Arabidopsis thaliana: one gene and its partners. The protein of the gene in region 3 purifies or fractionates together with the protein of the main gene of each other region. This does not show direct contact. Each region holds a gene or a part of one and is shown on either strand. Other genes may lie near its edges. The genes, in order: AAC3, AAC1 and ATP5.

Region 1 (10,844 bases), on a different chromosome or scaffold from region 3:
CAACCGCTGCGTTCTTCAAGTTCGTAGTCTTTTCGATTTTTGAGATGAGATATCTTCTGGCTATATGGAAAGCAACCCGTCCTTCCAATAGCGGAGAGGGTTGGGAAACAATGAGGAGAGAACTGTCCTTTCTGTACAGTCGTTTCTGTGAGTACTTACTTCTTTGGTGTTTTTTTTATCGATTAAAGCTTCAAACTCTTTTCTTACTGCATGTTTATGATATGGGTCATATATAACTGCTTGATTCTCTTACCCTCTTTTCAATGCTATTTTCCTTGAAACCAATACCAAGAAAATGGTTTGAATTGTCTTCCAAACCACAGAGAAAAATGTAATATCCCAATGAGAAAATTGCATTTTTGGAAACTATACGAGTATATCCTGTCACTATGGTATGGAAAAATGGTTTTGTTTATCTTCTCAAAATTTCCAAGTTATTCACTAGTTTATGTAGGTTTTATTTTGATTCTAAGGACAATAACCTGCACTGAATCTTGAGTGCTAGATATTCTCACCATTTATGTGACTTCTGTTTTTCATTTAGCTGAAACTTTGACGCAAGTTCAGATGCTAATGCTGATGTTTCATCATTTTCACAATATTAAACAGATGGGATCCTTCTTGGAGGCATTTTGATAATGTACCAGTTCCACAACTACATGCAGCCGATTCTCCTTCTCATGTACTCATTTTGGATACCACAAATAGTCGCCAATGTTGTCCGGGATTCAAGAAAGCCTCTGCACCCATATTACATCTTGGGCATGACAGCTACACGGTTAGCTATACCGTTATATGTTTTTGGATGCCCACACAACTTCATGCGTGTAGAGCCCAACAAGGTTTGGTGTATATGCTTGTGCACATTCATGGGGTTGCAAGCCGTCATTCTTCTTCTTCAGCATTATTTTGGTTCACGCTGCTTTGTTCCCCGTCAGGTTAGTTTGTTTTGTATTCATGTAAACTACACATGAAACAATATATCTAATAAAGTGAACACTAAGTTTTCAGTTCGGTTTCAGTTTGGCTTGAATATTTCAAGTCTCGTTCCCATTGCTAAGTTGTTTTTGACTACCACTAATCTCTTTCTTCATCGTTTTGCCTACACGCAGATGCTACCAGAGAAATACAACTACCACCGAAGATTTAATCGGGATGTAAGCCGCACCACTGATTGTGTTATCTGCATGACCGCTATTGATCTCAGACAGCATACCAGTGATTGCATGGTACTGCAGTTTTTTCCTGCTTCTCTTAACTATATTTTTTCCCCAATAGACAGAATCATGAGTGTGGTTGTTCTGAAAACAGGTAACTCCATGTGAACATTTCTTTCACTCGGGATGCTTACAGAGATGGATGGATATAAAAATGGAGTGTCCAACTTGTCGGCGGTCTCTTCCTCCAGCATAGAGGATGTTTTCGGTTTGTTAGGATGTACAGACTTCACTCAGATTATTGCGGGTAACAACTCAAATCTAAATTTTTTATTTTACTTTTTTTCCTTCGAAGTTTCTTTGCCTATTAGGTCTATAGATAGGGTCTTGGTTCTATCTGAAGAAAATTTGTTGCTAACAGAAATATGATTTCATAAATGAGAATTCAAAATGATAAAACCCAAATCTCTGTAAATAGTTGGCCTATGAGGAATCATGCTTTTATTTGAGTGTTTCAGGTTTGTCGGTTCCTTTTTTTGTCTGACTGTGGGATGTATTACTTATTTGTCAAACATTCCTGAAGTGTGATTGTTCACAAAATCGCGAAGTTAACTGCTGCAAAATTTGATCCTGAAACAGGTGGGGCTGGTTCTTTAATTTCAGGTCCTTGCAGAGGTTTAGAAGATTTTTAGATGAAAACAGAGCAAAGGTGGAATCTGTAACTGCGGCTAGATACCGCAGATAGACAATTGTGTTCTGTATAAACTGTATTACGTTATAATCTTAGTGCATATTCTTCACCCCACAACTAAATCTTTCACACATTTCTAGTTCTTTCATTTTCTTTGCATACATAGCATCTTGTCATTGTGCGCATAAGAGTGAATCCTTATGTGTCAGCTGGACCAGGAGCAATGGAAGGTCCTGCGGTAGATGGAGCAACCAGTGGAGCCATGGGTGAGCATTCGTGGTCATAGCAGTCTATGGGGTGCTCAAGTACAGCATCACAGACTTTTTGGGGACGCTGAAGCGGTTTGTCAGGCAGACAGTTGTAGCGATCATCGATGGCTATTCCTCTGGAAGTCAGGTTCCTGCAGATACCTTCTTCTTCACTGAAATAGTTGTAAGAGACGGTAACGTTCAGCAAGCTGGGCAAAACGCAGACTCCAAGAGGGACAGTGCCAGTGAACATGTTGTGTTCCAGATTTAGCTGCTCGAGATGGCCTAGCCCAGCGAGACTGTAAGGTACAGGACCAACTAAACTGTTGTAGCTCATGTCCAGGACTCTTAGCTTGTAGAGATACCCGACTTCGGGGGGTAGACACCCAGATAAGCTTGAGTTGATTAGGAGAAGCTCTTCTAAGGTATCTGCAAAGCGGGCTATGGTTGGAGGCAGACAACCGCTAAAATCATTGTTGGCAAAGACGACAACAGAGGCGGTTGTTCCTGTGAAATCTCGGGGGATGAGGCTTGTTAACCGGTTGTTGTTCACAAAAATGGCATCGAGGGGATTGCTGAAGAGTTTTGGAGGCAAGGGGCCTTCAAACTCATTGTAACGAAGGTCAAGGTACTTTAGAGAAGGGAGTGCAAGGACGACATCCGGAAAAGGACCTACAAAGCGGTTGTTGCTGAGGTCAAGTTCATAGAGTAAGGATAGATTGGCAAACGAACGAGGAAGTATGCCACAGAAGCGATTGCTATTGAGATGGATGAGAGCGAGGTCAGAGAGAAGGCCAATGGCTTCAGGCAGGAAACCAGCAATGTCACCATGATTGAGATCGATTCCGGCAACAACTAGAGTGTTTGGATTGGAAGGGGATGGGGCACAGAAGATGCCAGTGTAGCTGCAGACTGAGGGACCGACCCAATCTGCAGTTAAGTTCTTTGGATCAGAATAGATTACCTTCTTCCATGCTTTAAGTGCACGGTACGCTTGCTGAAGATGCTGTTTAGGGTTTGTGGAGTGACTTGTGTGGTGGTGAAGGCTATGTTTTGCTGTTGATACTAAAGAGAAATGATAAAGAAGAACTGAGATAAGGACAGGAAATGTTATAGAGAGAGCCATTCAAAGACAAGTTATGGATCCTTTGTCTTAAGTGTGGTGGATTTATATATAAAGACAATAAGTTTGGTCTTTGGTGCAACGATTACAGAGGATGAATCAGGTAGTGGTATAAGATCAAGGAAAAGGACTTAACTCCTTACTTGTAGCTGTCTGGAGTGGTTTGAAGTGGGATTTGAGACTGACACATTTGAAGACCAAATCTTAGTGTTGGACTTAGATCACTCATTCGCTTACAACCCAAGGAAACCGAATCTGAATTATACAAACTTTCGCATAACCATACATTTAAAGTTCTTTTGATCTCTCAGCTTATGTTGACTTTTTAACTGATAATATTCACTAAAACTGTTTTAACTACAAAAAACATAAACATGGTATTGGTTTTCTTTGTATTTATTCTTTTGTCAACAAAAGTCATAGAAGTATAGAACTAAGACAAAGGGCCACAACTTGACAGAGACACTCTATATTCTAAAAGCAACATTTATACGAACGGACACACTGCTTTATTCATTCACAGACCTCAAGGGCTATTCTTTCATCATCCTCATCGTTTAGCCACCACCAGAGCCATACTTCTTACCCAACACAATGAGCTGGAGCTTGTCATAGCCGGCCAGTACACCAGCGCCTGCAACCGCACGAAGGATGTTGGCACCTGCACCCTTGAAGAGTGACTTGGCCCCTTCGTTCTTGACGATCTGAGAGAAGGCCTGAAGAGAGCTCTTGTACTTCACTGCTTCACCTGACGTCATCATCATTCTTCTGCGAACCGTGTCAATTGGGTAAGACGCCAATCCAGCTCCAATGGTGATTCCCCATCCCAGTAAGAAACTAGCAAGGAAGCTATCCTGTACAGATTATAGCAATGAGTAAACAGTAACAGAGGACTCAATATGTTGAAGTGAGGAGTTTTCTTTGTTTTTTACCTGGAGACCATCAACTAGAACCACAGGCTTCAAGGAATCATACAATCCAAAGTAAAGCCCCCGGTACACGACAATTCCAACGCATGAGATGTTGAAACCACGGTAAAGCCCGACAATGCCATCAGAGGCTATAGTCTTCTTGTACACGTCGACCATGCCATTAAACTGCCGCTGACCACCTTTCTTGGCCGCCTTCGCATCATTGGCTAAACGGGTACGAGCGTAATCCAAAGAGTACACAAAAAGCAGAGATGATGCACCAGCTGCACCACCAGACGCCAGGTTCCCTGCAAACCACTTCCAGTAGCCATCTTTTTCTTTCTTGAAGTTAAACAGCCTCTTGAAGTAATCTTTGAACGCAAAGTTTAAAGCCTGCAAAACAAAACTATTTGCTTAGCATACCCATCTCGACGTCTATACAAATACCACGTCAAAGAAGAGAAAACAAACCTGAGTGGGGAAGTATCTGATAACATTGGCAGTGTTTCCTCTCCAAAGAGCAAGCATTCCTTCGTCTTTGACTGTTCGAGCAAAACAATCACTGATTCCTTTATATGGCTCAGAGAGACGCCCAGCTTTGATCATTTCATCTTGATTCTGAATCAAGAGCTTCACACGCTCTATAGGCGCGGCTGCCGTCTTCGAAACAGCAGCTGAGACTCCTCCCATAAGGAAATCGATCAAGAAACCAGTACCAGTTTTCTCACTAGGAGCGTGAGCTAATACAGGAAATGAACCATGAGGTATAAGAGACGAGCCAACGCCATGGCTAGTTGGCTGCAATAGACTCTGCAAACCTCCATTGACATAAGCACCAGAGACACAGTAACCACGAGCTTGCACACTCGGAGAAAGTCTATTGATCAAGTAAGATTGTCCATGTAGCTTCTGAAAGACTGATGGATGCTTTGATCCATCCATTTTTTGTACAAATCAGTAAAAGCTGACTCTGAAAAACAAAACAAAACAAAACAAAACAAAAATACAAATTAAACACCACAAAATCTTGCTTTCTCGAAAATTTCTATATTTGCATGCTTAAAAAAGAATGATCATAACCAAAACTGGAACAAAAACAGAGAAGACATCATCAACACATTTCATACGATCCTAGTTAGCTTCGTTAAAGACACCATTTCAATCTGTCAACTATAATGCGACCTAATTAGCACAAATTAAAACCTAGTTGCAGCAGCTCAATTAAATCCTCTGTTTCTAAAAGATCAAGCAACGAGTGGCGTCGAGAAAACAGAATTCACGAGAAGCAGAACAAAAAAACAGAGAGAGCTAGGAGAGAAGCATTAATGATAAAGCTAGAACTTCTGGAGTCGAGAGCTTACCGTGGATTTTTCGCCGAAGCGTTAACGAGAGAGAGAGAGAGAGCTGTGGAAAATTGCGAGAAGAGTAGGTTTCTACATGATTCTCGACTTCTGGTCCTAAACTAAAAGACGAAACTGAGCAGAAGAGAAGGTACAATTACGAAAATGCTACTGGACTCCTTTGACCCGTTTCTTTCTGGGCCCAATTTTAAGGGACCCGAGTCTTGACTTCTTCTAAATGGACCCAAAATTTATTTTCCTAGGAAGATAAAATTCATACCTAATGAAAGTGAGAGACCTCTTTATCATTATGTGATATATGTCTCATCTACCTGAAAATTAAATATAGAAAAATAGAACAATAATCAAGACTTTTTTGGTTTGCCGGAAAAATATAATAGAGGCTTGTTAACTAGGTCTTAAAAAATTGGATGTTACTTAAGAAGCAAGAAAGAAAGTTGAATCTTTTTTTTCTTCTTCAGCCGGACAGAACTTTACAGATGCAAGGAAGGTGATGTGGTTCGAATTTAGTGATCCAAAACTAGTTAGAGAAATGTTCTACAAACAATGAAACAAACCGATACGTATTGAGAGTACCAGAATATAGGCAATGATATCGGCTCATGTATTAGATAACAAGACACATCATACATGTCATGCGATATAAAATAAACTCGAATTACATGCAATAACCTTAATATGTGTAGGTAGATTATTTCAAAAGATTCAAGAAAACTAAAAGAGAACTCAGCTGGAATTCATCCGAGTAAGAAGGAAACATGAGAACTACATGTGTTCATTAAACTAAGCCATGCATAATAAACTCCACCTTAGAAACGAATTGATTACTATATATATAATATATAGATATAGATTTCTCTTCGTACACGAATCATATATATCACCTTCGCTAGCTAGTGTACTGAGTTCAATGAAGATACATGCCATATTGGTAGTAGCGTTCTTGGTCCTGATGAAGACCGCCGTTTCCCAGGACAATAATCCGCTGGAACATTGCAGAGACGTGTTCGTGAGTTTCATGCCCTGCATGGGCTTCGTCGAGGGAATATTTCAACAACCTTCTCCAGATTGCTGCAGAGGCGTGACCCACTTGAACAACGTCGTCAAGTTTACGTCTCCAGTTACTAGACTTAATTCTCGATTCTTCTATTTCGGTTTCTTCTTTCACCATCTATAATTATATTAACTACGCAGGGATCGAGGAATAGGCAGGATAGTGGAGAAACAGAGAGAGTGTGTCTGTGCATTGAGATAATGGGAAATGCAAATCATCTTCCTTTTCTTCCCGCCGCTATTAATAACCTTCCTCTCCGTTGTTCTCTTACTCTCAGCTTTCCCATCTCCGTTGATATGGACTGTTCTCAGTTATTTTCATTCTTCTCTCCATAGTTTTTTAAAAATCTTTTCCTAGAAGAAAATGTTATATATTACATTTTTCCTTGTGCATAAAGGAACTAATGAACTGGTATAATTTTGTCATTACAGGTTCAGAAACACCAAGAATCCCGACGTTGAGAAATTAAATTAACTACCAGGATATATATCTATGAATATTGGGAAGGGAAGCCTTGTAACAGTTCTATATAGTTACAAATGATATATAATCGAGTTTATTGTAGATGTAATAGTGACTAGTGTTACAAAAGTACGAAGAATTTTCTGTAAGCGATTATATATATGTATATTCATCAGATATGGCTTCTCTTCTATTTCTTAGTTTTTACAATAACCATTATTACGGGAAGCAAAAAATGCCAAAATTGTCCATTAAGAATCAAAACTTAAGGACAAAACTTCTGGCTCTCGTGACATTTCTACACTTATAATTACATAGCCAAACGGATAACATAACGAGGCTTTTAGCTTTTTACAAAGAGGAACGTGGTTTAAAATTTTGTTTTTTAACAGATGAGTAAATGGCAACAACCTAATTAAATACATCCAGTGACTTCAGCAGAGTAGATCCAACACTTTCAAAGCCACGATTATTTCAATCGATCAGCTATAATACAATGTTACATAATTTCCATATACCAAGTTACCAACACGGAAACACCACCTATATAACAGCTGCAGCGAGTAGCACAGGAAAACCCTTTATTGATTGATGTGAAAGTAAATTGAAATTGTTTTTGGGTGCATAGTGCGAGTTGTTTCAGGGGAATGGGGGTACAAATCCGAGAATTATCCGAGATAATTTCGCAATTTTTTATTTTAAAATGATTCACAATTACTTAAAATAATTCGCAATTGTACTTTAAAATATCCAAATCCAGCTCTTAACCAATTTAGCTGGAATAATTATACATATATATGAATCACCCGTGACCTAGACATGCATAATATCCAAATTATCTCATTTTTTAAAAATATACCATTCAGATAAGAATTTTAGAAAATCATTTTCCTAGCTAACGTAATGTCTATTAGGGACAATATCCCACATCGGAAGTTGAGTAGGATCTTAAGTGGTATATATAAGATATGGGTCTCTCCACCTATTGCCCACACTCTAATAATGTCTTTATTTTTTTTCTTTTTTCAAACAAGCGTTAATTATGTCCAGCTGGTTCAAATATTTAAACTGGGAAAAAATTATAAAGACTAATTAGGTCTAACAGATTAACCTATACAATTTGCATGTTTACTTAACGAAGGAAGCACGAGAGTTACATGTTTCTTTAAACTAAACATCATATAAACTAATCAACTACTAAATACATATATAGATTTGTGATGAACACGGATCATCTTAATTACCTTGGCTAGTACTCGTCAATATCAGTGAGTTACATACTAATTTTAAGATGCATCGTGCTCTATTGCTTATGACACTGATCACGTCCGCGGTTTCCATGAGTGAAGAAGAGCATTGCAGGGACATGTTCGAGAGCTTTATTAAAGGACTATCTATGCAACCCCCTCCACAGTATTGTAGAGGAGTGAGCCGCTTCAATAACGTCCTCAAGCTCACGTCTCCAATTACTGTAATTGATTCTTCACTCTCTCTCTCTCTCTTTTTCATCTATACTAAAACCGGTTGTTTAACCGTGATTAACCGGGTGGGATAACCGAGTTACTACTATATGTATAGTTGCAGGTATTGACGAAGAAAAAGGTGAATGGGAAGATAGGGGGACGGTGTGATTGCCCGGAATTAGATATAATTTGGAAAATAAGATGTAAACCTTGCGCACAAAACCCAGACCCGAATGTAACAGAATCTGAATCACAACATGTGTTGATGTGAGTGTTCAATACGTCCATGTGGGGGTGCATATGCATTCTAGGAAAGATGATCTTATAATTTTCTAGTATTTGTTCACTTACGTTTTATCGTAGTTTTCTAAGTTGTTGTATAGATATTGTCGTTTAATAAGAAATGTCACACATGCAAACCTTTGAACGTCACAAATTTCGATTCATATTTTGAACGTTGATGTTCTATTGTTTTTGTTTTTAACAAAAGTTTATCGCACTTGTTCCTCGAAATTCACATTTTAATCTTTAAGTTATCTTAATAACATAGGATGGAAAAAACAGAGCATTTTCTTGTTTTTCTTCTCCTCATGGATTCCTCTTCACTTCCCTTTTTACCAATGTCTCCGTTGCTGTCTGATTAAAAAATACGATTAATTTTCTACTAATAGTAGTTTTGGTTATCCATGTGTTTCTTTCAGATAATAGTAGTATTAAAAAAAACACAAAATTAAAAGTCCACTTTTTACTGCCAAACAGTGAGGTTCGGCTTTCCATAATTAATGATAGAATAACTTTGTCCTTCATTTTTTTTTTTTCAATCAATGACGACTTGTACCTACCACCACAATTTCATTACATAATTACTTTTTTATGAATCAACTTGGTCTTTTTAGTCGTCCAAATTGACAAGGCTTGACTCGGAGATAAGAACACAATAATCTGCCCATCCACAGAAGACAGTAAAAGCTTTTCAGAAAGTCTATAGAAAAGATGTCAAAATATGTGGATGTTGTAAAAGATGATATTTGATCATTTGGTAAAAGATGAAAACAGAGAAAACAATACAACGTACAGAGGCGTTGGTGCGAAACATCACTAATCAGAAGTTATGTTGTTCTTGTTCTTGTAACGATTGTAAAACTCTGGTTTTACACAAATCTATAAGATTTACAGCTAAGTTGTGAGTTATTAAATTATAACTTTTGACTAATATTTTGATATATAACCACTGATCCACTATCACTTAGTCTTCAATTTTTAATCGCAGAAACATAAAAACGTCTAGTAAGTCACGAAACCTTGATTAGACAAATCACCAACTCTTTGACGGCGAAGTATATGTGTGTGATTGTGAGTAAGATCTTTATCCTCTCTAGTCTTGCTGATCAAATTGAATAAAATCTTGGGATAAATGGGGATTTGGAATAATGACTCCTCCTCCCCTGAGTTTCCATCACTTTGAACTATGTGATAATCTGTAATATACATATTTTTTCTTTTCTAAAAGATGATTCTATTATTATGTGCTTGACGTAAAAATTCAATCTAAGATATGGAAAAGTTGGAGGCTTACTATAAAGGACGATCTGGAAGGAGCCAAGAAGACTCTCTGAAAGTGAATCTATTGAAAGAGAGCCGACAAGAATTTGTGGTGAGTAAGAAAATGAAAAACAAAAGGATAGTGTTACTTGCTGCATTTAATTATTAGGAACCAAAATGTACGCACTATCGCAACAAAATAAAATGAAAAGCCGAAAAGGACATTTTCATTAAACAAAGATAAGATTCAGGACAGTTGGGAATATTGTTGTACACGATTTTCCAACAAAATTCCTAAGTTTTGTTTTATGGTCAATTAAGTAGAATTGTAGGTTATAAAATTTTAGAAATGAAATTAAGAAATGGTAATAGTGTGATATATAGCCATTATTCTTTTTATTGGTTTCAATCATCTTTCACTAAAAATGTTACGTGAAACATAAATTTATTTGACAGCATTAAACAGATTATTATTTTGTGACAATAGTTTCTAGAACAAAACTATATATACTACAGTAGTATTAATTTATAAGAAAGGGGTTAAAAGGGAAGAAGAAAAGTCGTGAGAGAGAACGCGTCCGCATTGGAGGACGCAGCCGATAAAATGTTACAGTCACCGAGCATTTCACATTATTTCCTCATTCGCATCAACGAAGTCAAAACCATTTATAAACCCAAAATCTTCTTCGATCTCTCCATAATTCTCGTTTGCGTCATTCATTCATCACATATCAACCACCACAGAGACAGAGGAATAGTCTCAAAACTTTCTCAGAAATGGCAGGCAGTAATATTCTCCATAAGATTAAGGTACTACTCTTTTTATGCTTTA
Region 2 (11,409 bases), on a different chromosome or scaffold from region 3:
AAGTCTCGGAGCTCTGTATGCGAGAGATTTGAAGATGATTCTTTCATCTCTGCCACCATTTTCCTAATCTTTCCACACCGAGCCACTAAAGGAAACTGCAAAATAATTCAAACATCGTAAATTGAAATTCCGTCGAACACTTTGTGTGGGCAAAAAAAAAAAACAGATCACTAACCTTGTGGAGTAAAAAGGACTCTCCATCAACAACAATTGTGATGTCTCCCGCAACATCTGAGAATATGCTGCAATTTATATATGGTAAAAACGAATCCTTTATGCATCGGATAAGTAAGAAATCTATACGTGATTGCATAAAAGGAACAAACTTTGACATGTTTGAACGAAAGAGAGACAGAGAACAGACCGAGTGGCAAAGGAGCTGGAGAAGATGGAAGGAGCAGGGGCAGAGGAAGACGAGTGAGATTGAGCATTGTCCGATATAATACCCATTGTGACCTTGAGTATGAATTTGAGGAGGAGCCTTTCAGAAACATATAGGCTTTGAACACTTTCCTTTTCTTGCTCGGATTTTTTAAAAACTCTCTAATAGACTTTATAATGCACTTTCAATTTCGTAATCTTGACTCCAAAAAAAAAAAGAAGAGATGCTTTTTTTGGTGATGTATGATTCAGAGCACGTGAGAAAAGCCGAGAGGGGGTTGTGTGTGGCACGGAGCTCCATAAAGACTCAATTATAGTCTCTTGGGGGCACACTTTCACTTTACTAATTGAGGTCTCTATTACAACCTCCACTCTCAGTTTCTATCTAATCTCTCTTTTATACTAACCAACCACCTATGAACCCTACTTTGTCACCACTACTTTTGCTCTATTTTGTTTCACCAAACAATTGACATGGTGATTTGAGATGTGAAATCCTTGTCGGATCAAAATCCTTCCAATAGCAGCAGACAAATGGCAAAATGACAGATCCTTTTAAATATCTCTAGATCCTTAATCACTAATACATCACTATTTTAATTTATTTCAAAGCTTTCAGAAACACCTTTTGTTAACTCAAATATCTGTTTGGTGTCTTCTTATTGGAAGTTTTCTTGATTTCTATCAATGTTCATAATTCCAAACTGATGTGCAACTCTATGACTCTGTTCCACAAAAATAATTCAGAGATGGGTGATGCTAAAGGGCGATTTGCATAGTAGATTTTTCACTCTCATTTTCCATGTTTTATGCATGTTAACCGAGCTCTATGCATTCGCTCTCTCATTACTACTGATATAGACATAGGTGCAATATGAGGGATATGAAGAGTGAAATATTGACATGCAATATATAAGTGATATTCTCAACAATGAGTTTGCAACATTTCTTTCATCATTGTTGCTACAGTTTAAGTTCACTACTTCGTACAAAACTTCTAAGTTACACAGGTTTGGATGCGTGCATTTTTTTAACTTATAGCCTGAACTAGATTGTAGATACTACCTAAGATAACGAAATCAATATTGCAAGTTGATTAAGACTATAAATAACATGGTAATCAGATAAAAAAGAAGAATTTATTTCATAAATCCAAAATTCTTTAAAATCGAAGAGTCTAACAAACTCTCTCAAACATGAATTATTCCATAAGTAAAAAAAGTTGGCGTCAGAACGATATAAAATTTGGTTTAGGGCACATGCCTCCCTAAGTCTTAAGCAAAAAAAATTTCATCAACATCTCAGTTTATTGCGGGCCTTAAAACCGCAATTAAAATCGAAAAAAGGAGGAAGAAGCAATGCTTAGGCACCTCCTGATCCGTACTTCTTACCGAAGACAATCAGCTGCAATTTGTCGTAACCGGAAAGCACACCAGCACCTGCAACAGCACGCAGAATGTTGGCACCAGCTCCCTTGAAGAGTGACTTGGCTCCTTCATTCTTGAGGATCTGCTTGAAGGCGTCCAAAGAACTCTTGTACTTGACAGCTTCACCAGACGTCATCATCATTCTTCTGCGGACAGTGTCAATGGGGTAGGATGCAAGACCCGCACCATTGGTAATAACCCATCCAAGAGCGAAACTAGCGAAGAAACTGTCCTGAAATAACCAAAAGAGAACGACCACAACATGTCAATATCAACCAATGATAGGCAAGAGAGCACACAGATCAGAGAGAAAGACAACAAGACATACCTGTAAGTCACCAGTGAGGAGAACAGGCTTCACAGAGTCATAGAGTCCAAAGTACAGACCACGGTAGACAATGATACCAACACATGAGATGTTGAATCCACGGTACAGACCAGCAATACCATCAGTCTTAAGTGTCTTTCTGTAGACATCAACAAGACCATCAAACTGTCTTCCACCACCTCCTTTCTTTGCAGCCTTGGCATCATTAGCTAGACGGGTACGGGCATAGTCAAGGGAGTACACAAACAGAAGGGAAGAGGCACCAGCTGCTCCTCCAGATGCCAAGTTACCAGCAAACCACTTCCAGTAACCATCTCTGTCCTTCTTAAAGTTGAAAAGTCTTTTGAAGTAATCTTTGAAGGCAAAGTTCAAGGCCTACAATAGACAAAAAAGAAGGTTAGCAGAAAATTATGTTTTTTCAAAAGCTATAACAAGAAAGAGTATGAAACTCAACAAACCTGAGTGGGGAAATAACGGATAACATTGGCAGTGTTTCCTCTCCATAGAGAACCAAAACCTTCATCCTTAATCGTCCTGCCGAAACAGTCACCAATACCCTTGTAGGGTTCAGAAAGCCTGCCAGCTTTAATCATCTCATCCTGGTTCTGGATCAAAAGCTTAACACGTTCAATAGGAGCAGCAGCAGTCTTGGAGACGGCAGCAGAAACACCACCCATCAGAAAGTCAAGGGCAAAGTTAGTGAACCCCTTCTCTCCTGGGGTTTGGACAAACACGGGAGAAGCAGTTGTTGCCAACATCCGGGATGTCGGAGGAAATTGAAATGCAGCATTGGAGTAGTTTCCGTAGGTTGCATGTCTTTGATACATAGAAGGCCTCTGGTAACCCACTTGAACGTCCTTGGAAACACTTGAACGCATGAACTGCCCGGCAGCTTTCTGCGCAATAGTGGGGTGCTGAACTTGATCAACCATTTTGAACTCTGCAAAATCACATAATCATTGATGAGAAACCAGACGTGAATAACATACTACAAACCAGCCAAGGAAATTCAGAGAATTCTTATCCAACACAAGACATGGTCGTATCACAGAACGCTATCCAACCAAACAAACCAAGTTTATTGGAAAACAGTGAACCATGAACCAAGATCTACCATGTCATATTATAACGCAAAGATCATATAAATTTAAGAACAGCAACTTAAATCAGGATTACAACAATAACAACTTCCAATAATGAAGCCTCGACATCAGATCGGATACATTTTAAACTAAAGTCAACAGATCCAAACGATTTTGATCACTAGAAGATTATCAGATCAACGAAACGCACAAAAAGAAGCAGATCTATGAAACCGATACATCAGATATTCGACAATGAGCACAAAACATTCCGATCGGACTTTAAGCAAAGCAGATAACATAATCTATCAATATAACAATCAGATCTACAGATCGAAACGTCTCATTTACCTTACAGATCTAAAAAACACAGATCGAAGAAACGAATATAACAATGATTTGAAGAACGACGAGATTATAAAGAATCACAGATCTGAGAGAAACGAGTCATACCTAAGAATCGATGGATGAGCAAAATAACTGGAGAGAGACTCCGCCTTTATCTCACAGGAAATGAGAGGGCGAAGCAGAGAAGAGAGACGAAGTTTTCTCTGTGGTGAAGAGGCGAGCTTTGAAAAGAGCGATTGTTTGCCCTTTTATCGTCTCGAAAAATAGGGTCACAGAGTCTCGGTCGTCACTCGCCAGTGGGGACGAGTTATTATCTGCTGCAAAAAAACTATTTGGGCCTTGCAATTTAATATCCGTTGGATCTTACTGATTTAACCCTAAGAACTTGTTAACCGTTGGTTATGTTTACTTTGTGAAAGAATTGTTATTCTTTCTGATGGTACGACTTTACTTGCTAACCGTTAGATCTTGCCCTAGGAATCTGGACCGTTATTTGGTAACGTTGAGGGCAAATAGTGAATGGACGGCTGGAAGGGTAGCGTGGAAAATTATTTTGTCGACCATACCGAACCAGATCAATTTGCAAATATCTTATGCCAAAATTATTATTATGAAAGGAAATAAATTGAAGTGTTCAATTTTATTTTAAATGCCAGATTTTTACAACTTTGTTTATTTTCTTCTATATGAATATGATATTTGTGAATATACAAAAAAAAAAAAAGTAATAATAAACTGATCTAGTATTTTTCACAAATAGTGATATTTTTCTAAATCAACTTGGTTACAAAGATAATTTTTCTATATGCTACGTTTCTTTTCAACTTTCTCTATTGTTCTCCCATGTGTTACGAATGTTCAGCAACTGCCCTTAAAGTCTCATACCTTTAACTTTACATGAAAGGTTTCTTTTATTTAATTCGTTTAGTTATTTGGAGAACATTTTTTAATGAAGTTATGTTTTGGCGAAATAGATAAATCAAATTTAGTCTGTGAATTGAACAACATCGTGAGAGGGCCGGCGAGTATACAGTATGGCTCCCAAAAAATCACGAGCCTTATTAGAGAGCGGTGAAAATAGTAACTTAAAAGAGAATCAGAGTCTATAGAGGCTCAGGTGGGACTTTTAAAAAGAACTACAACAACAAGAATCATCACTTCTCGACGACTTCGATCAGACTTGTCTCATAGTCACTCGGGGCCACAAATCCATGGAGGTTCATCACTGTCGCAGCTACATTTGCAAGCCCAGGTGTCTCGATATCCTGTCTAAACCTAACTCCTGCTGACAAGCCAGGACCTCCTATGGCAATTGGCACCTGCACACACACATCATGTCCAAATTTCATATAAGATACACCAACCACTTCTGGTATTACAACCCCTCATGCTTAATCTATGCTCAGTTGCAATGGTCATAACACGAACTGTTTTAGTAGTGCTAGAACTTACTGGTTTAAGGGTGTGAGAGGTAAGAATCTGAAGGTTCCCTTCCTTATCGAGAGCAGGCTTGCCGGATTTGTCCCTTTTAACCATGTCCTCAGCATTTCCGTGATCTGCAGTCACAACGTATATCCCTCCGACCTGTTCTATGGCATCAAGGATTGTCTGCAAACCAGGACACCAAAACTAAGTGAGTCATTGCTACTAAGAACGGTTTCTAACATTCCCATGTCACAAATTTATTGAAATCATACCCTCACAGCACGATCAGCAGCTTCACAGGCAACAACAGTTGCTTCAATATCACCAGTATGCCCCACCATATCTCCATTTGGCAGGTTTACACGCACCTGAAAATCCATTGGCACCAAACTCAGAAGCCAATTGTTTTAATGGGTTGATACAATGTGATAAGAGAATACACCTTACCTGGTCAAACTTGCCACTAAGGATAGCATCCCTTGCTTTCTCGGCAATTTCCAGTGCTTTCATCTTTGGCTGGACATTGAATGATATTCCACTATCACTTGGAATCTCAACGTACTCTTCTAACTTTTCATTGAAATATCCAGAGCGGTTGCCATTCCAGAAGAAGGTTACATGGCCAAACTTCACAGTCTCACTGTTTCAGTGAAATAAAATTTTAATAGGTTAATAGCTGAGAATTCATTCATTATATGTAACTAACCATCAACGGTATAATCTCATCAAGAAAAAGTGAGCTAGGAGATTTCACTAGTTTTAATCAACAAACAACCCCCAATCATAAATTAGACCTCTACCGAGCAAGTAAAGAAGACTGGATTACTCTTATCACAGTTTCAATTATGAATCCAATTCCAGCAAATAAATAAACCAGGAAGCAGCAATAGAAGAAAATGGCAAAGACAATAACTAAAGATTTGAGAGATTCTAAAAGTTAACCTGCAAGCAAAAGTACGAACGCCATTGTGTGCCAGATATTCACCAGAAGTTCTGTCAATCAATGGTGGAGAAACAAGATAGCGGCTAGGAAGCTTAAGCTCTCCATCATATTGGAGCATTCCTGCATAACGTATATCAGGGACACGTACGCGATCAAACTTGTCGAAATCTTTGTATTCGAGGGCCTTTGCATGCATGACCATTCGATCAGCACGGAAATTGAATGTAACAACTGCGTCACCATCAACAATTGGACCCACAGCCTTTCCATTATCATCAACAATAACAAACGAAGGCAAATACTGGTCATTGGCACCAGGTTCTGCCCTCAGTGTCTTAACTGCTTCAAGAGCGCTTTTAAATTTGTGGGGAGCTTCCCCAAGGACTTGTGCATCCCAACCTCGTTTAACAACACTCCAATCATTCTGCAAGGAAGGAAAGCAAAAATTGGATTCATTTCTAAACTAGACTAGACAAGGCATGACATTCATACAAGATCTCACAAGCATTGCCTACCTCATAACGGTCCATTGTGACATACATTCGACCTCCACCAGATGCAACCTGAGCATCAACACCTTTCGCACGTAAAGCAGCTAGGTCAGCTTCAAGAGTTTCAACAAATCCGACACTAGAACCATCCAAAACATCACGACCATCAGTAAGAATATGGACGCGGATTCTCTTAGCACCACGTTCTGCAAAACCCTTAAGCAGCAACTGCACCAAACAGAACCAAATTAAAGAAAATTAACAAACGCCAACGTTTCAAAAGAAATGTGTAACAGATGAGAATTAAGTACCTGGACTTGATCCAAACGAGAGTGAACTCCACCATCGCTTAGAAGACCAATAAGGTGCACAGTGCCTTTCTCAAAAGATTGAGAGATGTATTTGAAACCTTCATCTTCATAGATTTTCCCTGAAGCAAGGGCGAGATCAACAAGCTTAGCACCTTGAGCGTAAATTCGACCAGCTCCAAGAGCATTGTGGCCAACTTCACTGTTTCCCATGTCGTCTTCGCTGGGGAGACCAACGGCGGTACCATGAGCTTTGATCAACCTCCATGTGTCGGGCTTCCCCTGTGAAGAATAAAATCGAACCGTTGAAGTCCATAATCGGAATCCAGCGAAATCATCGAGGAAAGAAGTGGATATAAACAAAAAAGGAAACATACGTCTTTAAGGGAATCCATGGCAGGAGTTGGAGCTTTATGGATGCAATTGTATTGATCGGGATCAGATTCACCCCATCCATCGAGAACAATCAAACCGATAGTTTTGCCTTTGGGAAGCTTGGGGTGGTCCGCAAGTTTCCAGTTAACGTCGCCGGAGCTACCCATAACTGTGGATTCAGATCCACTCGTCGGTGAGAAATTAAAGGTTTAAGGAACAGATCTGAGAAGCGAGAGAGAGAGAGATAACGGAAGCTTACCAGCGGAGAAACAGAGGAAAGCTTCTCAAAGAGTCTTATGGAGATTCGCAGAGACAGAAGTGGTTATGTGGTGAAGTATGGTAGGTTGAGAGCTATCACTGACATAATATGAGACTTTTATAGAAACATAGAAATGGAAAAGTTAGCGATGACGTGGTACCAATTTAATGGGCTTTACTTTGGGCTCAAGTAAACATTGTGAAGCCCCCAAAAAAATGGAAGGAGACGAATGTTCTAGTTTTAGCTGCTATGAACGAATGTTCTGGATCATGCCGTTTGTAATAGTCATGGTGTGCGCCATGTAAAAAAAATTGTATATACCTTTTTATTTTGGTCAACGTAAAAAATAGCATACAGAAAAGGTCAAACCGGAGTTAACTTAATAGTTTATACGGTATTTGAACCAGAATTTGATCAAAAATGGGTAAGTTTTAGTAACTGGGATTACATTAATTTCTGTTGACAGTAACTTTTTTTTATCTAAATCATTATTTAAACCTTGAGATTGCATTAAATCAAACTGAAATTACACGAAAACCAAACCGAAAACTCATGTAAGAAATTCAGGGTTGTGCACATTTATTTATTCAATATCATCATAATATTAACTGGGAACCTTCAAAAGGTTGGTAGAAGGCTAAAAAACAATTTCTAATGGGCCAAAGACAAAAAGTTGAGTTCCTATATATTGGGCTTAAAAAGCCTGAAACTAGATGAGACGTGGTTCATAGTCAGATAAATGGGCCAAGGATAAGGAAAGACAAAAACAAAAGTAGAAAAGAATCATACAGTATACATATATGGGAAATATACAGAGAGAGATACAGATAACACAATAAGAGGTAGACGGACAACTGTTACGGCGAAATTGAATGCCGCAATGTATCAATATGATTGGTCGAAAAGGAAAGTAAAAAAAACAAACAAAATATTAAATTTTTGTTAATGTGTAAAGGGAGAAAAAATCAGATGAACAGGCTGTATCATTTTTTTTTTTGTGAACAAATGGGACTGACGACAACACTCTTCTTCTCCTTTTTGTCCTTTTGGCTCTCTCCTTCTCTCCTTTCTCTCTCTCTCTCTTTTCCACCGGCGACCATTCATTCTCTCTCCTCCTCCTCCTCCTCCTCCTCCTCAGCTTCCTCCATTGCTCCTTAACCCTCATTCCTCGATTTGTTCTTCTCTTCACCATTTCCCCTTTTTACCCTTTTTCTACTCAGACGTGACGGCGACTTTTTATTCCTGTGTCTCCCACCTTTGACTCGCCCTGGGGGGATTTTTTTTTGCTCCAGAGGCGAAAGAAACAAAAAAAAGCAATGGGGTTTCTCCGTTGTCTCCAGCTGCTGCTGCTTCTGTTTCTATCTCTTCGTCTACAAAAGCTCTCTGCTCAATCTTCTTCACCCAATGCTTCTTCTTCTTCTTCACTCGATGCTCTTCTTCAAGATTACTCTTTTAGAGCCTTGCTTCGTCCTCGTACCGGCATTCTCTACGAGGCTACTACTGTTCCTTCCAATTTGACTGGGATCAAACTCGCTGCTATGAGACTCAGAAGCGGAAGCTTTAGAAAACGTGGAGTCACTCCTTTTAATGAGTTCTCAATTCCCAGCGGCGTTATCGTCAAGCCGTATGTGACAAGGCTTGTTTTGGTTTATCAAAACCTAGCTAATTTCTCTCACTTGTATTACCCTTTGTCTGGTTATGATTATGTCGCTCCTGTCTTGGGTCTTCTCGCTTACGATGCTAAGAATCTCTCTGCGCTTAATTTGCCTCAGCTTGATTTAAGGGTGTCTAATGATCCTATCAGAATCGATTTCTCTGATCTGGAACGAATCCCGCAAGGGTCTAGTGCTAAGTGTGTTAGATTCGATTCTAAAGGTGAAGCGAGTTTCAGCGATTCGATTCAGCCTGGAAACACATGCGAGACTGAGCATCAGGGACATTTCTCTGTGGTGGTGAAATCTGTGGCTTCTGCTCCGAGTCTAGCTCCTCCTGGGATTGAGAGTAAGAAGAAGAAGAAGAGCTCTGATTCCAATTCCAAGACTTGGATCATTGTTGGGTCGGTGGTTGGTGGATTGATACTGTTGGGGCTTTTACTGTTTCTGGTTTTGAGATGTCGAAATTACAAGAAGCAAGAGAAAATGAGGGAGATGGAGAGAGCTGGAGAGACAGGGGAAGCTCTGAGGATGACTCAGGTTGGTGAAACAAGAGCACCAACTGCTACTACGACTCGTACACAACCAATGCTTGAAACCGAATACGCAGCTTAGGATACTTTTGTGTACATCATCATCATCATCACATCTTCTTGATCATCTGTTACTGTCTTTTTCTTTTTTTCTTCTACAATTATTCTTCTTTTGGTAAAGTGTTTCTTTTTCTGATTATTTTTTCTTTGTGGTAAGCAAGTTGATACTTCCACATTCATCTTGTTTCTCTGCTGGTGATAAGGAAATAAGTAATATTGTTTTCTTCTTGTGCTCTCAAATTAACAAACTTTGGTGGTCTCTCCATGAGAATGAAAAGAGTTGGATTGTTTCTGGAGTGCACTCACTTTGTTTTCTTCTAACTACTTTTGCTGTAAAGCTTTGCCCTTTTTGTAATAATTTCAACATCTTTTTGTCTGAGAAGCAGACAGTTGAAGAAGATGTATATCATCCTATCATCCATACTCAACTTTGTTACATTGAGCTTAGCATTCTTCAAAAGGAACTAGTGTGTTCTTGAGATTTGTTGAGTTTTAACATTTTTTGCAGCTATCTGCTTCATGCAACTTGTTGACCCTCACATTTATATTAGAAGATCACCGATGAACCAATAGATTTTGGAACCAAAGAGGTTAGAATCCGGTAGGATATGTAGAAGATGATTTGCACTTGGCAATGTTACAACGTTTATGTTTACATCTAGGATTGTCTTGTTTGCTTACCTTATATGAAAAGTCATCTCGTTCATATGGATTTTTTGCATTCTACATTTTAGAAAAGCACCGTTTGCCACTTCAGGTATGTAACAATGTGCACAGCTACAAATCTTTGCACTGAACAGATTTGGAATAAAGTTTGAGTTAAAGTGAATACATGACTTGGTTAATCCTGGCTTGGGCCATCTTGTGGCCTCTTGCTCATATCAAGTAAAATGCCATGACAACAACGTTAATGGCTAAGTTAGCATTGCAGCATCTCCTCTGACTTCTGCAGATACCAGGAGATTTTTTGTCTCATCATTCCAAAATCTTAAGGTTGAAAAAGAGATGAAGTAAAATGTATAAATGCGGTATTAATTGTGTTTCAAGGACACACAAATAATTGCCAGTTTTTGTCAAAAGGAAACTATAGTTGTAGAATATTCGTCTCTTTTCTTCTTTTTCTGTTATCTGTTCTATTAGAAAGCTAAAGAAATACATCAAAGTCAGGTCTCAACGGTAAAATGAAAACAAGCTTCTTTTTCACTAAAGAGTAAAAGAGATTCCTCTCAACATTGGTCTTTCATATTTTTCCTAGCTCATATTCTGGTGTGGTTGATCGAATCTTAATGAACCGGAGAAAATAAAAGATTTGATTATGTAATTTATCATAATCAAGAGCTTGTTTGTGAACACATGAAAAAGTAAAGGAAAGAAGAAGAACTCTCTCTGCCTGAGGAGTTGTAATTTTTGGCAGAAGCTGGTGTCGTTTTAAAGAGAAATTAGAAGTGAATCTATGTAGTTGTGTTGGTTGGTAAGATCGATTTAGTTACATTAAATAAAAAATATTCCTTTGAGCAAAAACAATTAAAAAAGATAGGTTTCGTCACAAGGTGGACCATTTCGAAGAAGAATTAAGAGACGAGCCCACTTGAAAGAGACATAGCGAGGGGACCCCATGTGAATCTGCAAGCAGAGACAGAGGCTTTGACCGTTCTCATTCATCAACCATCCTCCATTATTAGCCAGAGTCATAAACCATGTGATTCATCATCACAAGGCTTCATTGGACTCTCTCATGCATATTCACAATCTCCACTTCCATCTTATACAATTCCAGTTCCTACCCGCAACAAATCC
Region 3 (10,637 bases):
AGGTAATCTTTTCTTAATCCTAAGCTTCCAAAATGTCCATTTTCTTCTCTTCTCTTTCTGCAGAAGTACACAAGAAGAATCAAACAAGATGCAGAAACAACAATCAGCATTAGAATGAGATTAACATCTTTGTCTTCACCTTTTCTGAATTAACTTCTGAAATAAAAATCCTTTTCAATACAGTGAACAAGCCCTTCTTCTTAGCCATTGTTGTACAACCATCACCTGCTATATTGCTCTGGAATTCCTCCCACAATCCGCCAACCAAATCTGAACAATAATCCAACTTTCATTCAAACAATGACCAAATCATATCAAATCACTACCACTGAACACCTGATATGTGCAAATAATACAATCTCTCAGTACCATTTTCCTTAAAAATCCTAGATTTGACTAATCATACTCCAGATCAATACTCTAGATTCCAAAATAGATGATTCAAGTACCAAAACTAGGCACAATGCAGGTACACCACAAAAAACATAAGAAAGATAAAAACTTACTTGATGGTGTCAAAAGATTTTTCTCAAAACGTTTGCTTCAAATCTTGATTGTGAGAGAATCAAGATTCAGGGAGAGGGTTTCTGCATCAGAGAAGAAGACTGTTCATCAAATTATGAATGTGAACAAGAGAGAAGTAAGGTTTGTTGTTCTCTTCTCCACTGTGCCGACAGGTGAACGTGCCACTTCATTGCCCACTCGAAATTATATTTTTACCCCTCTCATCCTCCTTAATCCCCTAACTTCTGGTAGATCTTGCAGCTAACCACAAATTGTTTGTTGAATTTTGTTTAGTTTTTAACTTTTGTGTAAAAGTTAAGTTTCAAGAATAGTCATATCAACATTTAGTAAACAAATGTTTCTCCATGTGGAAGTTCTTCATAAATATCCTCAGACAGATCCCAAACTCATAAATGCATTACACAATGTTAAGTTGAAATAGTGACCGTCCAAAAATAGCTACATCAGTGATCAGTGTTAAGCACTTTAACATAGTACAAAATCAAAAATAACTTGCTTTTTTTTTGCAAGAAGTGAATAACGTATTAACAAAATCAAGACCAACATGTTTCCGTAATTAACAACTAATTTTGTATCTTTCGACGCTGCTATAAAAGTCATATTTCACATTTGAAGACTTGTTTTCAAGAGATGATAATTTAGGTACTATATATGATAATGAAACTATTTTTAAAAATTGGTCAAACGACAATGACAACGCATTGCATATTGTTCAGATGGAAAAAAACATATTCTCTAAGTTGTATCGCTCTCAAGACCTCTTCAGTACAAATCCAATTGCATCCTTCTATATTATTCTTCTTCTTTAAAAAAAAAATAATATTCATGTAAATCCAAAAATAAATTATTCAAAGTGTACTGACAAAATCAAAGAAATAAAAAAATATATAGACGATCCGAAATAAAACAAGTGTTCCATATGTTTCACTTCGAAGTTCCAAAAAAAAAACAAGTGTTCCATATGTTTCTCTTTAATTGATGTTTAAGTTTTTGACACATAGATTAATAAACTACACAAATTGTGTTTTTAAAAAAATCTTTTATATTAAAACATAAAAAAAATTCTAAAAAATTATTTATTCATCGAATGACATTATGAAGAAATGTTACAAATCAGTTTTGTTTTTTTAAATTGTTGCACTAGATTTTAACCCGCGGTATACCGCGGGACGATTTATTTTTTAAAAGTAATATATATTAAAACTTGCAAATTTTATTTTATAAAATATTTATATTTTATAATTTATAATTGTTATTAACTAACGCTATACCACGAATTCATGAGACAATTGTTAAAAAACTGAAGTTTTAACCCCTATTAAAACAGCATATTAATAATATTTTAAAATTTTATAAATATTAATTCAAATACATCCGCCATATAACTCAATTCTAAAATAAAACTCGTTCTGTAATTTCTTTACCCGTCCTGTGATTTTTTTTTGAAGTAGTAATTTTTAAAATTTAAGAATTATTTTTTATATATAAAAGTTTTGCAAATTGTATCATTTTCTAATACATTTATATTTTATAGTTTAATTTTATATATAGTAACATTATACATACCACATAACATTTTTTGTTTTATATAATCTTTTCTAAATTAGGATGATTTGATATATTTAATATTAGTGGTCTTAGAAAATAATAAATTAAAAATTTAATCCGTATTGAAACGGTGGATTAATTATATTTTATTTTTTTATTAATGTTGATTCAAAAACCCGTCCCTCTAAATCCGTCTTGCCAAAAAGCCATTTATTTGTTAATATTATTTTTATTAATGATGTGACTCTGAATTATAATCTAAACATTTTAGTTAATAACATAGGAGTGCACCATATTTATTTAATAGGGGAATGTACCATATGAGCCGAACGCACTTTTATCCAAATCTACCAAAAAAGTCTTGCAAAAATACTATAGAGATAAGAAACGATTGTGAGTTTTGATAGGTATAAGATTAACAAATATATTTGTTAGTTTAAATTAGTTAAAGAATACAAATTGAAAATGTATATTACACTTTATTCGAATATAGTATCAAAACTTATATAACACAGAGATTTGTTTTTTTTAATTGTTGAATATTTTTTTTTGTGCTAATTTTTATGTGATTAAGATTTAATTGAAAAAGTCTTGCAAAAATACATTTACCAAAAAAGTTTTGCAAAAATACTATAAAGATAAGAAACGATTGTCAGTTTTGATAGGTATAAGATTAACAAATATATTTGTTAGTTTAAATTAGTTAAAGAATACAAATTGAAAATGTATATTACACTTTATTCGAATATAGTATCAAAACTTATATAACACAGAGATTTGTTTTTTTTAATTATTGAATATTTTTTTTTGTGCTAATTTTTATGTGATTAAGATTTAATTGATTTCATAAATAAAATATTAAATTGTTTACGAACTTATTTGTTTATAATTTGATAATAGATAGATATTTGAATATTCAGTATATTTTGCTTCAGTTTAGGAAATCTTTGATGACCCGTCTTTAGATCCAATAAGCCCTATAATCTAGATTTTAACCTGCAGTATACCGCAAGTAGGCTTATATTTTAGTTAAACTAAAAACTTTTATTGTAAAGATGATTTAAAAATATATGATATTATTTTATTTGATTTTAAATGTATAGTAAACTGTGAGTTGTATATGTTTTGTTGATATTATCTATATTGTTTAGTGTTTAAGATTATACACTTGTAGTTTGATTGTTAATTTAAGAGTTTGACATGTAGTATACCATCTTGTATTAATATCGATCTAAACCCGTTAATTCTAGGATTTTCCAGCTTGTATTAAAAATTGAATCACATCTAATATGTTATTAATTATTGTAGTATATAAGATTATAAATTTTCAATATAATATGTATGAAATTGAATATAAATATTTCAAATTATGACCCGTTACTCAGTAGAAAGTTTTCTTAAATCTATTTTTCATCCGTTATAATATTTTTCATGTATTGAACAGTTTATATTCGTTTTTAAAAATTCAAATTATGACATATGCGAAAAAACTCTAATTATTTTTTTTATAATGATGATATTATTTTTCGGCAAAAATAGAATCATATAAAGATGAGAAGTGAACTATAATAATTAATAAAAAATTAATATGATAATTTAGATATCAAATCTAATTTGTTGATTTTAATTGGTTATTTTTTTGGAAATTAATAATGCATTTTATTTTTCTAATTAAATTAAATTAATTAAAATTTAGATATCAAATCTTATATGTTGATTTTGATTGGTTATTATTTTTGGAAATTAATAATGCATTTTATTTTTCTAATTAAATTAAATTAATTAAAATTTAGATATCAAATCTTATATGTTGATTTTGATTGGTTATTATTTTTGGAAATTAATAATATATTCCGTTTTTAAATTAAATTTAATTAATTAAATTAGTATTTAACTTTTTAATCCTTAAAGAGATAAATTAATTTATTCTTTAAAATTTTATTTTTAATGGCATACCTATGTAATTACTTACAAAAATTAAGGTTACATTTAAAAAGTACTTCCCAAATAATATAGTAGGATAGAAAATTGAGAACAACATCTTAATTCGTAAGAAAAATAGTATTTTTTTAGAACATCAATTATTTTGAAATAGAGAAAAATACATTATTGTAGAGTTCAAATACACATTAAAAATGATATTTTTCATATACACATATATACAGTTAAATTTGAATATATATATATATATATATATCAACAATAATACAAAATAATAATCTACAAGATCTTGTTTACAACAAAAAAACGAGTTAAGTTGTGTATTACATAACCTCACTATAACATTTGAAACTTGGTAAAACACTAAAAACCTGAGCAAAACAAATTAACTATCATAAATTTGCCACTATCTACAGGTAGTAATAAGCCCAATAAAATAAGTATGAGCCCAGTGAAGCCCAATGCACTAAGTTATTTTCTTCCTCTGACCAGTTTCATCTCTTTGCTCTCGACAAAGCAGCTGAGCGACTTTTGCACATTTCTAGGGTTCCAATCAAAATCTATCTGCAACAAAAATGGCTAATCGTTTCAGATCAGGGATCTCCTTCTTCAAGACCATCGCCGTAACAGATTCTGTCTCCTCCGTTAGATCCAAGTCGCTTTTCCCAGCGGTAATTCGCATTCTTAAAAATCGAATCTTTTCAGTCCAATTTTTTGTTCGGAGTCGATTCTTACGAGATCAGTCGATCCAATCGCCTAATTGGATTGATAACAGTATAGAATGGGGATTATCGTGTTTTCTCGCTTACATTGCTCGGCTTTAGATGTTTTGGAAGTCTTTTAACTCTATCTCTGTTATTTTCCTGAGAATGCTATCAATCAATCTTTAAAGTTTGTATATTTCTATCGCAGTTGAGAACTTATGCAACTGCTTCTGCTCAAACAACCGCTAATGTTAAGGTACACCCTTTTATCACCATCGTATTATTTTGTAGATGCGAGAATCGCGACAATGGCTTGAATTGTTTGATTGGCATAAATGATGAACCGCGGATAGCTGGATTTTGTATAATATGTAATGGAAGTGTATCTAGATTTATACTTGTTGTTGTTTCAGGTGCCTATTGCTTTAGTTGGTGAAAATGGGAACTTTGCTTCATGGCTATACATTGCAGCTGTGAAAATGAATTCCTTGGAAAAGATTGAGACGGATCTTTCTGAGATGATTGAGGCAATGAAGACAGCTCCTATTTTTGCTCAGTTTACAAAGGATCCCTCTGTTCCTAGAGGGACAAGATTGGCTGCTATTAGGGATGCTTGTGATCAAGCAAAGTTTGCCGAACCCACTAAGAACTTCCTCTGTATGTAATTCAAGTTTGAAACTGTCTTGTTTTTATGATTTTGATTGACCTTGTTGTGCTGATATTAAAAGTTGTTTGCTTTCTGTAACAGCTTTGTTAGCTGAGAATGGAAAGCTGAAGAACCTAGATGCCATTGTGAAGAAATTTATGCAGCTGACAAACGCACATAGGGGAGATGTCAAAGTTTTGGTTACCACAGTCATTGTAAGCTTTAGTCTCAATACTTGTTATCTCTTAAATAACCATAAACTCAGTATTGTGGATTTAATCATATGGTTTGGACAGCCGCTTCCCCCTGCTGAGGAGAAAGAACTGACTGAGACGCTTCAGGAGATCATTGGAGCAGGGAAGAAAATCACTGTGGAACAAAAGGTATGTAATCAGATATGCATCAAAGGCTTGTGATTTTCTAGTAACCCATAAAATGGATATAAGCATCTATGTCAATGGTGGTAATGTGTGTTTGTAGATTGATCCAAGTATCTACGGTGGACTAATCGTAGAGTTCCAACAAAAGGTGTTGGACATGTCAATCAGGACAAGGGCACAACAGATGGAGAGGCTCCTCCGTGAACCTGTTGACTTCAACAACCTCTGAAAATCTTGAGAGAAATTTCCCCCAAGAAAACATGCTTGTGATGAATGCCACCAATTGACAAATAAATATGGACCCTCCTGGGAAACAATATAATAGCTGGCCACTTCTCTCCCTTTGAATTTTGTCATTTGCTTTTTACATATTGTTGTTTGCTTCGAAATAAAGCTTTTCGAGACATCAAATTTCAATGAGATTGTTTTTGTTTAGATTTGAATCGTTGGGCTAATTTGGTAAATAAATCTACAAACTATGCCCAAGTAGCTTATTCATACTCACGAATGAACATTAAGATGCCACGAAGCTACATAATTATCATGTTAGAACACCGTCATTGTTCTCTTCAGTATTAATAGTAAAAAAACCAAATTGACGATTTCTCGAAGACTATTAAAGGAATATCCGCAAAGAAGAAAAAAAAACATTTTTTTGGTAAAGGACTAATCTTTTTGTTTGCATCGGCCATCTCTAACCTTACGATTGTGTGTTCTTGCTTTGAGCGAAACCCTAGAATCGGTCTTAACCCATTTGAGCAGAGATGCTGCGAGTAGCAGGAAGGAGGCTTTTTTCTGTTTCGCAGAGATCATCGACGGCGACCTCCTTCGTCCTTTCCCGTGACCATACCCTTTCCGATGGAGGCAACTCCTCTTCCGCTTCTAGATCTGTCCCCTCTGCAGATCTCTCATCTTTCAATTCTTACCACCGGAGCGTTATAAGAGGTCTGCCGATCTACAACTCTTTCTGTCTCTCGATTGATTTTCATTTCTGGTGTTATCCATTGAATGATTCATAAATTTTTAAAAGTCACCTCTTTTGGGCTTGTATAAGTCCGGAAATGATTGAGATTCCTAGTTTCGTATCTGCGAGATGATCTATGGGAATTAAGTCATCTGTTTTGAATTCTTATGATGTGTATTAGAGCTTGATGTACCATTTCGTCTCATTCTTCTCCTTGCTGGAATAGTGATTGATCGGATATGAATTGACCAGCTTTGAGATAATCCTTTTTTGATGAGATAATCGATTTTGACATGTAGTTTATTCATTATTATGGAAATGGATGTTTTATCGTCTTTGGGCACATCATATAAGATACTTGCATCAGTAAACGAATCTGGAATTCCATATCTTTAACCAAAAGGGCTATGTTTGCAATCTTATCTTAGGAGTTTTCTTATGTTTTAAGCATTTATGATCATTGAAGTTCCTTCCTTGGATCTTGCGTTAGATAGATTAGTTTAGTTTTCACTGAATTTGATATCATGGTAGAAAATTGTTTGGATGACACCTTCTGTTATCTCTTGGAATCCGTTTTTATAATCTTATGTTATTCTATGCATTAATGTTAAATGTTTGCTAGTGTTATTCCTTTCTTCTGTGTTATCTCTTGAAAATATTTTTGCTTAATACTTGGTGTTGTTGAACACTTGACCAAGTATAAAGTTTGCCCTTGATGTGAAATATTAATGTTTCATGCTATTTTCAGGTTTTGCTTCTCAAGTCATTACTCAGGGAAATGAGATAGGTTTTGGTTCGGAAGTCCCAGCCACAGTCGAAGCTGTCAAAACACCTAACTCAAAGATTGTCTATGACGACCATAACCATGAGCGTTACCCACCTGGTGACCCTAGCAAGCGGGCATTCGCCTATTTTGTCTTGTCGGGTGGAAGGTTTGTTTATGCCTCTGTTCTCCGCCTGCTTGTTCTGAAGCTTATTGTGAGCATGTCTGCAAGTAAAGATGTCCTTGCCCTTGCATCCCTCGAGGTTGACCTAGGGAGCATAGAACCAGGAACTACCGTGACAGTCAAGTGGCGTGGAAAGCCCGTCTTCATCAGGCGAAGAACAGAAGATGACATCAAGCTGGCCAATAGTGTGGATGTTGGATCCCTGAGGGACCCACAAGAAGACTCGGTTAGAGTCAAGAATCCAGAATGGTTGATCGTGGTTGGAGTATGCACTCATTTGGGGTGCATCCCCTTGCCTAATGCTGGTGATTATGGTGGTTGGTTTTGTCCGTGTCACGGATCACATTACGATATATCTGGAAGAATTAGGAAAGGTCCTGCACCATACAACCTGGAAGTACCGACCTACAGCTTCTTGGAAGAGAATAAATTACTCATTGGTTAATGAATAAAGCACAACAGTCCGAGTGTCATGGTCTGGATGATCTTAAATCTGTTTTTGTTTTTATATTTTCCGGCATTTTAGCGTGCAAGTTCGCTTTCCTCACACTTTGGGCTCAGCAAAAATTGGCTTGTTTTGCTGAATAATACAAACTTGTCATTGTATGACTTAGTATCTGTCTCATCTGGTGAAAATACATTGTTCATACTTCATAGTCTCTGTTTATTATTTGAAAAGAGTTTTGAATAGTATCATCCCTATTTTTCTTATGTTTGTAATTTTGTAACATATCGTTTGTAAGAGAGTTTCCTTTCCTTAAAGTCTGTAGCCATTATCACAATTGAGACAAAAACTTGGTAAGGTTCAAGGTGTGTTATAAAACTTTCGTGTTCTTACTGGAGACGACATTTCGAAGACCTTCAATTCTCAACTAAGCCATAAACCTTCTCTTCCATAGTGAGAAATCCAATTGTGAACCTCGAGACTACTACTTTGATGAAAGATGTCATATTCTGGTTGTGGATCTTAGCCTAATTTTCTTGTTCAGATTGTTTTCATCGATGACTACTTCTTTGATGATGTCCTTCTAGCTCTTTCTTCTAGTATTGAAAAGTTCACACAGATGTAAAACAGTCTTTTTGTTGGAAATCTTGTTTAAACATTACAACAACAAAATATATCCTTTACCAAGTATAGACCCCCTATTATTATTATTAAAAATTACGATTTTTATACAAATAAAATAATTTATCTTACAAATACACACACACAAAAAAATTATATCGTAAAACCAAAAGATTTTATTAATTAAAATTAGAAAAAAAACCATGCCATCAAAATCCTGAAGTAAAAAAATATCAAGTAATACGCAAAAACCAAAAAAAACAAAACAAATTGACCTTTTCTCAAAGACAATTTTTAAGGGACTTACTAGTAAGTAGTCTCTTATGTTTTGTTTTGCATCGGCCGTCCCAAACCTGAGGATTTCTCTGTTCAGCTAGAGCGAAACCCTAGATTCACATTTGAGCTGAGAGATGCTGCGTGTAGCAGGGAGGAGGCTTTTCTCTGTCTCGCAGAGATCTTCGACTGCGACCTCCTTCGTCGTCTCCCGTGACCATACCCTTTCCGATGGTGGCGGCGACTCCTCTTCAGCTCCCAGATCCCTCCCCTCTGCAGATCTCTCATCTTACCACCGTAGCCTTATCAGAGGTTTGCCGATTTATAACCCTTTCCCTCTCTCTCTACATTGATTTTTCATTTTCGGTGGTTCTTTGCAGTTTTATTTGATTGATTGATTTTTGAAAAGGTCTTCTTTTTTTGGTTGTATGATTCACGGGAATGATTGAGATTTCTAGTATTGTATCTGCAATGATCCGTGGGAACAAACGTGTCATCTGATTTGAATTCCATGAGCTTGATGTACCATTTGGCTACATTCTTCTCCTTGCTGGATTTGTATTGCATTTGATGATTACTTCTTTCGTGTGGATTGTTCAGTTCTGAGATAATCCTTTGTTTTACTAGGAAAGTTTCCTCTTTTCGGTGCGTTAATCATAGTATGATTCACCACTGGCTTCTTGGTTTTTGAAATTTGATCTTGTGTATCAATCCTTTTGAGTTCTTCATTGTTAGGGACATGGATGTTTTAACTGTATACTATGTTTGTAGGATTTATAGCTGTTTAAAGGCATGCTGAGGAACTTGCATTCTGAAATTTATGTTTTCTTAACCAAAGAGCTTTGTTTGTTCTTAGCATTGGAAATTTTGTTGTGTTTTAAGCGTTTCTGTAATATACAGCATCTGATCAATATATTTTTTTCTCTTGGTTTATTACGTTGGTTTTAGTATTTAAGGTTTCACTGAATTTGTTATTATTGATTTGTTTGGATGAATTTGGTATACTTGGCTTCTCTGATTCATTCTTTCGTCCAGAAGGAAATGAACATTTGAGTTTATTGATGGATTATGGATTGACCTGTTTAGATGTAATTCTTTGGTTGATGACTAAAGCTCCTTGCTTGTAAATCATTGGAATGCGTTATCCATAGTGTGATTCACATTGGCTTCTAGATTCCAATTTTTTGTTCTTCTGTTTCCATGTTGATCATTGAATTTGTTCTCTTGTTTTTTTTATGGAGATTATCGTATTTAAGTTTCCACTCCCCGAGTTTGATACGATGGTTTGAATTGTTTGGATGGATCTCATACTTCATGGAATCCGTTTTATGTACTTTTGTTTTTCCTTAGAAGATTATACATCAATGGTCACATCTTGATTGTGGTAGTCCTGTGGCTTATTCTTATTCTTGTAGAACACTTGACCAAGTATAAAGTTTGCCTTTGATGTGAAATATTAATGTTTCATGCTATTTTCAGGCTTCTCTTCTCAAGTCCTTGCTCAAGGAAATGAGATAGGTTTTGGTTCAGAAGTCCCAGCCACAGTCGAAGCTGTCAAAACGCCTAACTCAAAGATTGTCTATGATGACCATAACCATGAGCGTTACCCACCTGGTGACCCTAGCAAGCGTGCATTCGCCTAT

The links.
Region 1: the proteins of ATP5 (region 3) and AAC3 fractionate together in Arabidopsis thaliana (co-fractionation; one large-scale study listed by BioGRID). This does not show direct contact.
Region 2: the proteins of ATP5 (region 3) and AAC1 fractionate together in Arabidopsis thaliana (co-fractionation; one large-scale study listed by BioGRID). This does not show direct contact.

What each region holds. Positions count from the first base shown.
Region 1 is NC_003075.7:14,037,710-14,048,553, forward strand, and holds AAC3 (ADP/ATP carrier 3), read right to left. Parts: upstream 5,639-10,844; 5' UTR 5,492-5,638; intron 5,476-5,491; exon of another isoform or gene 5,334-5,475; intron 5,101-5,333; 5' UTR 5,073-5,100; coding exon 4,602-5,072; intron 4,524-4,601; coding exon 4,152-4,523; intron 4,074-4,151; coding exon 3,777-4,073; 3' UTR 3,579-3,776; downstream 1-3,578. Other genes in the region: AT4G28370 (RING/U-box superfamily protein), read left to right, coding at 1-147, 610-938, 1,113-1,229, 1,312-1,413; AT4G28380 (Leucine-rich repeat (LRR) family protein), read right to left, coding at 2,047-3,222; A7 (Bifunctional inhibitor/lipid-transfer protein/seed storage 2S albumin superfamily protein), read left to right, coding at 6,282-6,611, 6,686-6,855, 6,977-7,019; AT4G28397 (non-specific lipid-transfer-like protein), read left to right, coding at 8,299-8,478, 8,586-8,741; AT4G28400 (Protein phosphatase 2C family protein), read left to right, coding at 10,790-10,822.
Region 2 is NC_003074.8:2,603,963-2,615,371, forward strand, and holds AAC1 (ADP/ATP carrier 1), read right to left. Parts: upstream 3,934-11,409; 5' UTR 3,672-3,933; intron 3,612-3,671; exon of another isoform or gene 3,570-3,611; intron 3,077-3,569; 5' UTR 3,069-3,076; coding exon 2,595-3,068; intron 2,512-2,594; coding exon 2,137-2,511; intron 2,041-2,136; coding exon 1,744-2,040; 3' UTR 1,473-1,743; downstream 1-1,472. Other genes in the region: AT3G08570 (Phototropic-responsive NPH3 family protein), read right to left, coding at 1-95, 176-242, 365-450; iPGAM2 (Phosphoglycerate mutase, 2,3-bisphosphoglycerate-independent), read right to left, coding at 4,721-4,885, 5,019-5,174, 5,264-5,359, 5,439-5,631, 5,934-6,358, 6,450-6,653, 6,737-7,015, 7,111-7,275; AT3G08600 (transmembrane protein, putative (DUF1191)), read left to right, coding at 8,684-9,634. UniProt on the Arabidopsis thaliana protein: ADP:ATP antiporter that mediates import of ADP into the mitochondrial matrix for ATP synthesis, and export of ATP out to fuel the cell.
Region 3 is NC_003076.8:4,305,894-4,316,530, reverse strand, and holds ATP5 (delta subunit of Mt ATP synthase), read left to right. Parts: upstream 1-4,464; 5' UTR 4,465-4,589; coding exon 4,590-4,685; intron 4,686-4,926; coding exon 4,927-4,974; intron 4,975-5,131; coding exon 5,132-5,375; intron 5,376-5,466; coding exon 5,467-5,579; intron 5,580-5,660; coding exon 5,661-5,747; intron 5,748-5,844; coding exon 5,845-5,973; 3' UTR 5,974-6,277; downstream 6,278-10,637. Other genes in the region: IQD11 (IQ-domain 11), read right to left, coding at 1-57, 140-208; AT5G13440 (Ubiquinol-cytochrome C reductase iron-sulfur subunit), read left to right, coding at 6,509-6,689, 7,457-8,100; AT5G13430 (Ubiquinol-cytochrome C reductase iron-sulfur subunit), read left to right, coding at 9,132-9,306, 10,474-10,637. UniProt on the Arabidopsis thaliana protein: Mitochondrial membrane ATP synthase (F(1)F(0) ATP synthase or Complex V) produces ATP from ADP in the presence of a proton gradient across the membrane which is generated by electron transport complexes of the respiratory chain.